Linked DNA regions of Ovis aries. The main gene of each other region encodes a partner of the protein of the gene in region 2 in a complex. Links are inferred from orthologs where the notes say so. Each region holds a gene or a part of one and is shown on either strand. Other genes may lie near its edges.

The links. Proteins that work in one complex are often made in the same cells at the same time.
Region 1: GTF2F1 (region 2) and POLR2H share a complex: the UniProt entries of both Homo sapiens proteins name them as parts of the TBP-based Pol II pre-initiation complex. The link is inferred for Ovis aries from reciprocal best matches to the Homo sapiens genes GTF2F1 and POLR2H.

What each region holds. Positions count from the first base shown.
Region 1 is NC_056054.1:203,611,110-203,616,628, reverse strand, and holds POLR2H (DNA-directed RNA polymerases I, II, and III subunit RPABC3), read left to right. Parts: upstream 1-1,659; 5' UTR 1,660-1,793; coding exon 1,794-1,866; intron 1,867-2,825; coding exon 2,826-2,909; intron 2,910-2,989; coding exon 2,990-3,083; intron 3,084-3,625; coding exon 3,626-3,709; intron 3,710-4,664; coding exon 4,665-4,782; 3' UTR 4,783-5,018; downstream 5,019-5,519. UniProt on the Homo sapiens protein: DNA-dependent RNA polymerase catalyzes the transcription of DNA into RNA using the four ribonucleoside triphosphates as substrates.
Region 2 is NC_056058.1:15,922,883-15,928,680, forward strand, and holds the start of GTF2F1 (general transcription factor IIF subunit 1), read left to right. Parts: upstream 1-2,238; 5' UTR 2,239-2,650; coding exon 2,651-2,662; intron 2,663-2,746; coding exon 2,747-2,793; intron 2,794-3,277; coding exon 3,278-3,350; intron 3,351-4,548; coding exon 4,549-4,742; intron 4,743-5,558; coding exon 5,559-5,729; intron 5,730-5,798. UniProt on the Homo sapiens protein: TFIIF is a general transcription initiation factor that binds to RNA polymerase II and helps to recruit it to the initiation complex in collaboration with TFIIB. It promotes transcription elongation.

The DNA.
Region 1 (5,519 bases), on a different chromosome or scaffold from region 2:
GGCTCGGGAGAGGTGGCAGGGGGCGCGGGCAACGCGCGAGCCCGCGACCCCACTTGGTGGAGGCCGGTGGCTGAGAGGGGCGTCCCGGGCCAGGGCGGGGGCGGGTCCGCTGGCACGTGGAGGGGCCGGACCGCGGCTGCGGCTCTGCGCGCCGGGTCGGGAGGGGCTGGACAGGCCGGGGCTCGGTAGGGCCTGGGGCGGGGGCTGCCGAGCCGTCTAAATCAGATTCGGGCCCAATCCCTCAGCGGCGGTCCCCTCTCTTGCTTCACCGGAGGGGCCAACGGCTGACTGGCCAGGAAAGGTCCCTGTGCTCTGCTGGGGGGTGAAAAACAAAGCTAGGGGAGAACTCGGAGGGGGTCGCTAGGCCCAGAAACGGAGGTTGCTTGGAATTAGGACCCTCGGTCTCTCTCATCCCCTTCCTTTCTCCTTCCCTTCTTTGCGGGTCCCCCAGGAGCACCCCCAGGGAGGTGCACTTTGAGCCACCTGGCCTTCGGCTAGTGCGGGGGGTTGGGGTGGAGATGGGGAGGGAACGGGAATGGGTGAGGCCAGAGGGAAGGGAGGTCTAGGTGCCTGGGAGGCGGGCGTGGTGGGGACAGAGGTCGCTTCTCCCTGGCAGGGCCCAAAGAGAAACCGGAGTAGGTGCTGACGTCTAGCAGCCATGGGGGAACACGGCCTGCTGGGGCTTTGTGTTCTGTATGAGGGTCCGGAGGACAGAGCAGAGGGGGTGAGCACTAGTGTATGAGCAGCGTCAGGGAGAGTGTCAGGAGAGGCCAGTGCCCAGGAAACAGGCAGTGTGCAGGAGGAGGCAGCGCCGGGGTGAAGGGGCGCGCGGGAGGTCGCAGGGGGCTCCCGGGTAAGGGAGCAGTGCCCAGGAGGGGGCCGAAGTGAGAGCTGGCACCCTAGAGGAAGGGGCAATGTAAAGAAAGAGGTGGCATCTGTAGGATAGGGTAGTGCCAGGATGAAGAAGCCCGTAGGAGAGCTTGTCTAGAAGGAGAGGACCGTGGTAGCGGAAAGGGAAGAACAGAGCTTAAGGGGCAGGGCTCGAGGAGGGCAGTGGGTTTGGGGTTAATGCCCTGCTGAAGGGGTGGTGTGAGAGAAGAGAGCAGGAAAGGGGACGGTGCAGGCTTTCCTCTTCCCCATGGTGACATCATGGCAAATTCCCAAACTGGAGGGACCCGGCTCAGGTGACATCCAGCTGGGACGAGCCGGCCCGGGCCGGCCTGGGTGCCAGCAGGAAGGGCTGGGTTTTGCGCCCAGTCGGGCCAGCGCCCTGGGGGCGGGGTGCTGCTCCCCTCACTCTCTGTGCGGACTTGCCCTCGGCGGGCACGCAGACCGGCACAGTAAGGCTCGGGCCGGGCTTCTCTGGGCCAAGGATCAAGGTCCCTGGCTGGGGCAGGCCGCTTGAGCATTCCAGTCTTCCAGACCCGGCTTCTGAAGAGGGCGCAGTAGAGCCTCGGGAGAGAGCCGGACGCGACGCCACCTCTGTCGGAGGTGGGACCCATCGTGTCGCCGCCGGGGGCGGGGTTTTCTGGACCCGAAACCAGCCCTCAATTCTGAAACCTCTGGGAAACAATCGTTCGGGGCGGAAGTTAAGAAGCCCCGAGAGCTAGGCAGCGGAAGTGGCTGCGGTACAGTTCTTCTATGCGCATGCGTTATTGTATTCCTTTGCCGCTGCCGTTTCAGCGCTGCGTCGTCTTAGCGCGCCTCTTTTCCTCCACGCGAGGGGGTGCGCTACCCCTAGTCGTCGTGGTCAGCGCGCCCAGTCCCTCTGCTACTCTCGTGGCCCCCTCACCATGGCGGGCATCCTTTTTGAGGATATTTTTGATGTAAAAGACATTGACCCGGAAGGCAAAAAGTTTGACCGAGGTAAGCAAGGTTTGGAGGGGCGGTTTCGGGGGAAGGGGCTAATCTCCTCTGGTACCCGCCCCCAGGCTGCTTGTCCACCCACTTTCGCGTGGCCTTTCCCTACCGGTGGGTCCTGGTGTGGGGACCTCTCTCGAGAAATAATTTTATAGATAAGAAAACGGAGACTCCCGAGCTCTCCCTGGTTTCACACAAGCTGTGCTCGCTGCCTGGGTGGCCTTTTCTGCTGGTGCTGGTGGACTCCAGGCATCTTTTATAATCGCTCCCCGCTCTGGACCGGGCGCTGTACTTAACACTTCGCACGCGCTTTGTCTCACTTATTTTCTTCCAGGAGTAGGCGGTGTCTTACCCATTTTGCTCTGAGAGGCTAAGCAGCCCACCCAAGGTTGTACAGTGAATAATCCGACTTCACAACCCGTTCCTCAGAGTCTTTAGCTGTTTGTAAAATCTTCTCAGAGTTTAAGAGTAGACTGCTTGGTATACACCTCTTTATTCTGTCATTTATCAATAATTGTCCTGGGTGTCTCTTCCTTTGCCTGGACACTGATAAGTTCTTCGGGACAAACACCAGTTCTTACACATCTTGATAATCAATCCCCTTAGCACAGCACCTGACACAGGAAGAGGAAACCTTAGGATGAATGAATACCTTGCCCCAAATCAGGTTATTTCTTAATCACTTAGGTTGGCCTAGAACCTGGATATTATTTATTGCCAGAGGATCTTTGATTCTTTTCTGTGGATTCTGTCCACTGGCCACAGGTTGTCTCCCCTTTCCTTCCTGCATGTGTGATTCTGATTGAGCCTGTACTTCTGTGAGAGCAGATGAGAGGCCAGTGGATACAGACTGCATTAGACTGAGTATTCTGTTGCATCCAGGCCCCTGAAGTACCTGTCTGCCCTGCCCTGTAGGGTCTGCCCTGGGCCACAGGCAGTTAACTTCTGCCACTCTTCCCCTCCAGTGTCTCGGCTGCATTGTGAGAGTGAATCTTTCAAGATGGACCTCATCCTTGATGTAAACATTCAGATTTACCCGGTAGACTTGGGTAAGTATTGAACACAAACAGCAGGAGGCTTTATGCCATCTCAGCTGGTCTCCACCCTCTGCTACCGCTGTTGTTTTCAGGTGACAAGTTCCGGTTGGTCATAGCCAGTACCTTATATGAAGATGGTACTCTGGATGATGGTGAATACAACCCCACAGATGATAGGCCTTCCAGGTGAGGGGATGGAAAAGGGAGCACCTGAAATGTGCCTGAGGACTAAGTGGATAGGTGTATAGAAAAACCCTTACTTAATTCATGAAATAAATGATTATCAGCAGACTCTGTTAGCTTAAGAAAAGTGCAGCACTTAAGAATCCAGACATCCAGGTGTTTATCCAAAGCAGTGATTACAGTGTGAGTTGTCACTTTTTGATAGTGGAGGAAATGAGCACTGAATGACCTAGGCTCTGTGGGCCTTGTGTCTTGGGAGGGAGTTTGGTGTGATGGAAAGGCTTTGGACGCCCACTCAGTTCACATCTCAGCTCTACCACTTATTTGTTGGATAACCTTAACCTCCTTCAACCTTAGTTTTTTCTCATCAATAACATTGATGGTCATACCTAGCTCACAGGGTTGCTGTGAGGATTGAATGACATCACGTTTAGAAAGTGCCTGGTGTTATGATGCTGGCGTATAGTTACCAGTTACCATTTTTTTAAAGGGCCTCTTACTTTTGTTAACTGTATTTAAGAATAACTGCCCCTATTGTTCCACAGGGCTGACCAATTTGAGTATGTCATGTATGGGAAAGTGTACAGGATTGAGGGAGACGAAACTTCTACTGAAGCAGCAACACGCCTGTAAGTTCCTTGGTCTTGTGAGAGCCCTTTCCCTTCTCATTTTGTGAGAATTTGGGCTATGCTTTGAAAATCTGGACCATCCTCAGGCTCCCTGGATTTCTTTCTTCAAGCACCTCAGACCTAGCGGGACCCAGAAAGGAACTGTTTTGGGAACAGTTTCAGTCTGAAATGTAGGCTGGTCAGTTTGCCCTCTGTCAGGATCTTAAGGCCTGTGATCTAAATGAGAAACTGTTAATCTTGCTGAGTGAAATGCCAAGGAAAGTTACTTCTCCAAGAACTAAATGCAGCATAAGTGATTAAACTGCTAGGCTTTTTTGTTTGTGTGTGTGTGTGTGTTTTGCTACTCTGCAATCCAATCCCTAGTTCTTTGGTTTCTCTGCCCAACTATTTTTTCCTTTTCTTTAAAACCTTATTAAAACAATATGTGCCCTTTGCAAGAAATTTGAAAAGCAGAAAAGTAATATGAAGAAGGAAAAAAGTCACCTATAATTCTATAACCAGAGGGAATCTTCTACATAAACATTCTTGAATGTTCTAGGTTTTTTTTTTCCTATGTACTTTTTTCTTTGAGATCATGTTGTTTATTACAATGTTTTGTTCTGTTCCATTTGCTTAATGTTATGTAAAACATGTTTCCTCATGTCAATTTAAAGCTTTTCCTAAACATTTTTTTTAAATTCCTAAACATTTTTATAGCTGTGTAACATTCCAATAAATGGATGTATCTTAATTGATTTGACCATTTCCCTTAGTTTGGTCATGGAGTATTTTCCACCTTTCTGATATAAAAAACACTGCCTTGCACATATCTGTGCCGTCATCTTTGTCTGAAATTTGGTTCCTAATGACAGAACTCTAGAAGGGTGCCTTTTTTTCTTAGGCTGGCATGGAGAGTAGCTGAGTAGCAGTTTTTGCTCTGGCACTCAGACTCACGGGACTGGGTCTTCTGTTTCAGCTCTGCCTACGTGTCCTATGGGGGGCTGCTCATGAGGCTGCAGGGTGATGCCAACAACCTGCATGGATTTGAAGTGGACTCCAGAGTGTATCTGCTCATGAAGAAACTGGCCTTCTGAACCACCCAGGAAGCTAGCCTTGCTGCTTAGTCACTCAGGTCCTGGATGTTAGTTCAACCCGAATAGCAGTTGCTGTTGTTCACCTGTTCGAAAGGGGCTGACTCTCTGTCCACCCTGAGTGCATCTTTAGCAGGTCTGGACTCAGTGGGAAACTGACTTGCCGGTGAAAGACCCAGTGGGAGAGCTTAAGATGTTTTATGTACATGATTTTTTAAATTAAACTTTACTTTTTCAGACTCTTTTCCCTTCCTTTTTAAAAAAGGTTTTCCCATTTTCAAATCATTTTTTTCAACTTGCTTGTGGTACATTACGTTTCTGGCCCATAGCCAGATGATCACGTGTCAATACAGGATCTATCCCAACCTTTCAGTATCTGGGTTCAGGATTATCTCAGGCTCCTGGCTGACCATCCCCAACATTTCCCCTCCAAGGTGATTTTCTGTGTGGGAGAGAAAGTGTTGTGCTTTTGGCTCCTGAGGGCACCACCCATTTGGCACAGAATTTTGAATAGGCAAGGAGCCTTGCTTATGTTCTTCCAACACTTTCAGTCTCTCAGGAAGTCAGATCACGTTGACTTGAATGTGTTGCCTGCATAGCCTGGATGCATTCATCATTTTTATGGAAGCTTTGAGATGAGGCTTTTAGAGACAAACATGGGACACGACTCTGAAGATGAGAGCAAGAACGATCTGGTGGTTGTGGAAGCAAGTGGATGAGCTAGCTCTGCTCTACATTCT
Region 2 (5,798 bases):
GCAGTAAAGAATCCCAGTGCCAATGTAGGAAATGTGGGTTTGATCCCTGGGTTATGAAGATCCCCTGGAGGAGGAAATGGCAACCCACTCTGGTGGGTTGCCTGGTAAATCCCAAGGACAGAGGAGCCTGAAAGGATAAAATCCATGGGGTCTTAAAGACTCTGACACAACTTAATGACAAACAATAAACAAAGTTCACTAAGTGCGTTCACCAGGCACTCTGCCAAGCCCTTTATAGGAACGAAGTCATTCACCCCACACCCCAGCCTTCTGCTGAGGGTCCAGCTCCTCTCCCATTTTACAGTTGAGGACACAGAGGCTCAGTTGACAAAGCAGCAGCCAGTGTCCCCTGCCCTCAAGAGGCCCCTCAGCTCCTACATCCTCCTGGGAAGCCCCTCCCAATGGGCCCCCTCATCCCTCTGCTGCCGTGCCTGGGAGCTCTCACTGTTGGCACCAGGATCCCCTGCAGCATGAAGTCATGGATCTTCTGGCCCCACCAGGTGCCCCGTTGGGCCTCCTGCTGCAGCAGCTGGCCCAGCCCCATGTGGCAGAAGCCATACTTGGTTGCCATGTATTTGCACTGTGTCCCTTTTCCGCAGCCTGGACCGCCCATCACAAAGACGATCAGGGGGACTTGAGGATGTCTGCGTGCCTGAGGAAGAGGGACAGGGGAGAGGGGTTGGTGCCTGTAGGGGTCAGTTGGTGCTGAGGGGATTGTGTCCACAGTTACAATGGGTTACGCTGGACACATGTCTGCTGGAAGATCTATTTCTGCCCTAGGGTGGTATCTGGGGGTGTGTGTCCACACCCAGTGATATATCCAGGCACGGCACCCATTAATACTGCTATAGGTCATGTGGATGAGGTGTGAACCCAAGCAGGTCAGGCCCTTTGTGTGCAGCCTCTCCTCGAAGAATCACCCCTTTTACAGTTGAGGAAACTGAGGCTCTGAGACGGACAGGGACTTGTCCACCCCTCCAGTCTCATCCCATACCACCCTCCCCTTTCTTTACTGTTTCAGCCCAGTGGCCTCCTTTCAGACCCTTGTACTCATCACCTCCCTGTTGCTCCTCCCCGACCCCCACCCCTGCTGGAAGTCCATACTGCAGTCCCTTCAGGTTGCAGCTCACCCTTCAGCTAATCTCTGTCTAAAGAGCCTCCCACCCCATTGTTCCCAGTCTCAAAACCCTAATTCCCCACCACCCCACAAAAAGAATTCCATTTCCTCCAGTAATGGTCACTATCAGTAATGAGTCTGCCCGTTTACTTGTTCTTGTTTGTCTCCCCAGTCAGACTATGTACTACAAGAACACAGAATCTGTTTGTCTTCCTTGTCCCTGTATTTCTAGTACTTGGCATAGTTTCTGACATAATCGTAGCAAGTGAGGAGTAGATAAATGTCCATAACTATCAGAAACATCTATGGAGACCTGTAGTTTATAGTGCTGGCTTCCTACATTCCCCACGGACTTCCCAGAATCCAGCGCAGCAGGTGCTAAAAGTGAAAGTCAGTCAGTCAGTCAGTCAGGCGTGTCCGACTCTTTGTGACCCATGGAATTCTCCAGGCCAGAATACTGGAGTGGGTAGCCTTTCACTTCTCCAGGGGACCTTTCCAACCCAAGGATCAAACCCAGGTCTCCCGCATTGCAGGTGGATTCCTTACCAGCTGAGCCACAAGGGAAGCCCAGCAGGTGCTAACATGGATCACTGAATACCTGACCCTGAGCATGCGAAGTTGTGTTACAATAAGGTAGGGGGCCGGGAGGAAGGGCGTGTGCACACCTGGACTTGAGGAGGGGTTACCTGCATTCTCCCGCCCTCCATAACCTCCTTCCCTTCTCCCGAGTAAACCAGCCACCCCCGCGATGTTTCCCTTCTTCTGGGGCCTCAGGGGCCTGCCTATTTGGGGCAGTTTGGACTTGCACAAACCCAACCCGCCTGAGGCCCGTGGGGTGAGCGCACTCCATCCCCTACACAGGCCCTGACCTCTCCTAGTTCGGTTCAACGTCACAAGGGCCCCTGGCCCGATTATTTGGCGAGATGATAGGGCTACCCCCGGGGGCTGTGGGGAGAAATGAACCCCAAAGAGGCTCAGGTAGAGCCGCAGCAGTCGGCTGCCAAGGAGGCCTCGGTTGCTGTGGTAACGCGACCTCCCCGGACTCACTTCCGCAGTAAAGTAGCGCATGCGCAAATGGCCCGACAGGCCGCGAGGGTGGCGGGTTTCCTCCCTTCCTTCCCAAGATACCCCGCGGTCCTGAGATGTAATGTCACTGGGGGCGTCTTCACGTCACCTGTTTGGGTTATCCGCGTGATGAGGTTATCGGCCTGATGGGATTATCGTGCTATACAAACTGCGGGCCGCCAGAGCGCTAGATACAGAAGGCGCTACCTTCAGTTGGGAGTAGGTTGCTTCCCCTAGGCCTGCGGGAGGATTTCGATTCCGGTTTAGGCGGCTGCGCAGGCGCAGACTTGGCACAGGCGGTCTCAAGCCAATCGCCGACCCAGTGCCGCCTCCGGATAGCTTTCCCCAGGATCGGTTGTATCCCGGGCCGGAGACCGGACACCTCGAGGGCGGCCTCCGAGGGACGCGCACCCGGAGGGAGGCGTAAAGAAAGGTTCTGATCAGACCCGGGTCAATCGCCCATCGCCCATGGCGGCCCTCGTAAGTGTGCGGCCAGGCGGTTCGGCTGCGGTCCCGGTGGCCTCTGTAGCCTCTCACTCACTGTCCTGCTTTCTCTCCCCTCAGGGCCCCAGCAGCCAGAATGTCACTGAGTATGTCGTCCGAGTTCCCAAGTAAGTCCCTGACCCTACCAACCCCCTTTCCCTCCAGAAAAGGATTAAAATCTCGAGGTTCCAGGAGTGTCTGATTCTTCTTCCAGGGCTGGGGTTGAGCCGAGGCCTCTGGGGCATCACTGTTTTTTTAACAGAGTGAATGAATAAGTACATTAATATACAGTAACACGCAGCCTGCCTGCCTAGGATTCCCTCAGCCAGGAATGGCAACAGTGACTCTACTGGGTGGATTCTTTTTGATCCTGCGAAATTCCGTTACAGTATTTTCCTCCTTCAGGAGGCAGTCCCTGCCTGTCCACCCCGCTGCCCAGGGCTGAGTTCCCAATTATCCCATCTTGAGTTCCCAGAAATATTTGTCCTTAACTGATCTCTGGGGTTTTTTTCATGGGTCCCCAGCGTTGCCCAGCACAAAGAACTGAGCCTGGGAGGGTTTGCTGAATTAATGAATGATTAACTGAGCACTGCCTCTTTTTGCCCATACCAGAAATACCACCAAAAAATACAATATCATGGCTTTCAATGCAGCCGATAAAGTCAACCTCACTACTTGGAATCAGGTAAGTCCGAGTTCTGAGGCTGTGAGAAAACCTGACCCTGGATTTGATGTAATAGTTGCTTGGTTGTGATAGTAACTAAGGCTTAGGATCCTCCCCTCTCCCCACGTGCAGATAAATGATAACTAAGGCCCAGGCTGAGCCTCTGGGCACCCCTGAGGACAAGATATGTGTGGCCTTGCAGGAGGCTTTCTTCTGAAATTTGTGCCCACTGATGGGCATTCTGGGTCGAGATCTATCTGGGCAAGAGAGGAGGGGGCTGCCTCCTAGAGGTGACTCAGAGCCCCTATTGTTGGAGACTCCAGAGCGGTCTTTAGAAACTGTTTTAGTTGCAGGCTGCTCTAGCAGAATTCCAGAGACTGGGTGGTTTGTAAACAACAGACATTTATTTCCCACAGTTCTGGAGGCTGGAAGTCCAAGATCAGGGCGCCAGCAGATCTGGTGTCCTGGTTCATAGCTGGTGCCTTTGCACTGTACTCTCACCTGGGTACACAGCACTCTGGAATCCTTTGTTAAAGAGGGCACTTATCTCACTCCTAATAGGCTGCAGCCTCACAACCTAATCATCATCTATCAGAGGCCCCGCCCCCAAATACCATCACACCGGAAATTAGGTTATATGCATTTGGGGAGAATTCCCTGTAGATACAGCGGTTAGGACTCCAGCTAGGACTCTAGCCCATTCACTGCTGGGGGCCTAGGTTCCATCCCTGGTGGGGGAACTAAGATTCCAGAAGTCCGAGATCACAGCCAAAAAGAATGCATTTTGGAGGCATGCAAACATTCATCCATAGCAGAGGCTATTAAAGGGTTACAAACAGTCTGTAAAGAGATTTGTCCACTGTGGGGTCGAGGGCAAGTGAAGGGAGAACAGGGCGGAGGTGAAGGCTCTGGACCAGGTGAGCCTGTGATGGGGTTTGCAGCAAACAGGTTACGAGAAGTTATTGGACTCTGGGGTGTCTTTTTTTCTTTTTTTCTTTTTTAATTTTTCATTTGGAAATAACTTCAAACTTTCAAAAAGCTGCAAAAACAGACATCGCAGCGGGCTTTAGACAGATCCCTTCGCCCACATTCACAGAGCCTCTTTTCGCCAAGCGGGAAGTTGGCTCAGAGGGTCCACCGCTCAGCCTGCGGGGAGGAAGGGGTGTTGTTGGATGGGGAGCAGGCTGCCTGATGAGAAGTCTCGCCTTCCGTCTCCCAGGCCCGGCTGGAACGAGACCTGAGCAACAAGAAGATTTACCAAGAGGAGGAGATGCCGGAGTCGGGCGCCGGCAGCGAGTTCAACCGCAAGCTCCGGGAGGAGGCGCGGAGGAAGAAGTACGGCATTGTCCTCAAGGAGTTCCGGCCGGAGGACCAGCCCTGGCTGCTGCGGGTCAACGGTAAATCAGGCCGAAAGTAAGTGCCCCTTCCCGCCACTCCCCGGTACCCTTGGCCGAACTTCTAGGTCCTGCAGCTGGGGGTGACAGCTCATCCACCCATGAAGGGGTTTTCTTGGGGAAGATGAGCCAAGGGGTTGCTCGAGTGTGTGCTAGGGATGCAGGAATCCCGGCCTGCCGTCCTCCTGCGCCCAGCCAAGGACTGCCCAGAGCTGAGGGTTGAGAACCATGGGGGAGACAGAGATTAAGGGAAATGAAGGGCACTCTGGTTGAACAGCGAGCACGAAGGCGTGAAACATCGAGCCCCAGGGACTGTCACAGCGCACGACAGTGGCAGAGTGGGTGGACTGAGAGGGCTGAGAGTGCCAGGGCACAGCGGGACTGTGGGTAGGCTGGGGCCCAGGGCAGCCTGAAGGCTGTAGGTGGGGAAGGGGCACTCTGTAAGACTGCCTGCACATGGTGGGGCAGAAAAGGGGAAGGATGGAGGCCCGGAGGGAGCTGGGCTGGCAGTGGTTCAAGGAAGATTCCGGAGGGGAATCCAGAGGGGTCTGACACTAGAGCACTGTGCTCTTTAGGGCCCATCTAACAGGTCCTTCCAGAAAGGACCATGTCGTGTATAGTGCACAGGAGCCCTAAGTCTGCTCTGTGAGGGCAGGAAGCCCACCTTTTCCAGATGTGGGAATCCAGGCTCAGGCAGTCAGCGGGCCAGCCTTCCAGCCTCAGGTTTTGCTAGGAGAACCCAGATGGCCCTGGAGAGAGGGATGCAGGGGGTGTTGTCTGGATGTGGCACTAGTCCTTCTTCCCCACACAGACTGTGACCTTGAACTCCCTGCAGGTTCAAGGGCATAAAGAAGGGCGGCGTGACAGAAAACACCTCCTACTACATCTTCACCCAGTGCCCTGATGGGGCTTTCGAGGCCTTCCCTGTCCACAACTGGTATAACTTCACGCCGCTGGCCAAGCACCGCACGCTCACGGCCGAGGAGGCTGAGGAGGAGTGGGAGAGGTGAGTGATGGGGCCACGCCTAGAAAAGGGCTGCAACCCCCCGACATTGTGCCTGGCTGGGAGCTGGGG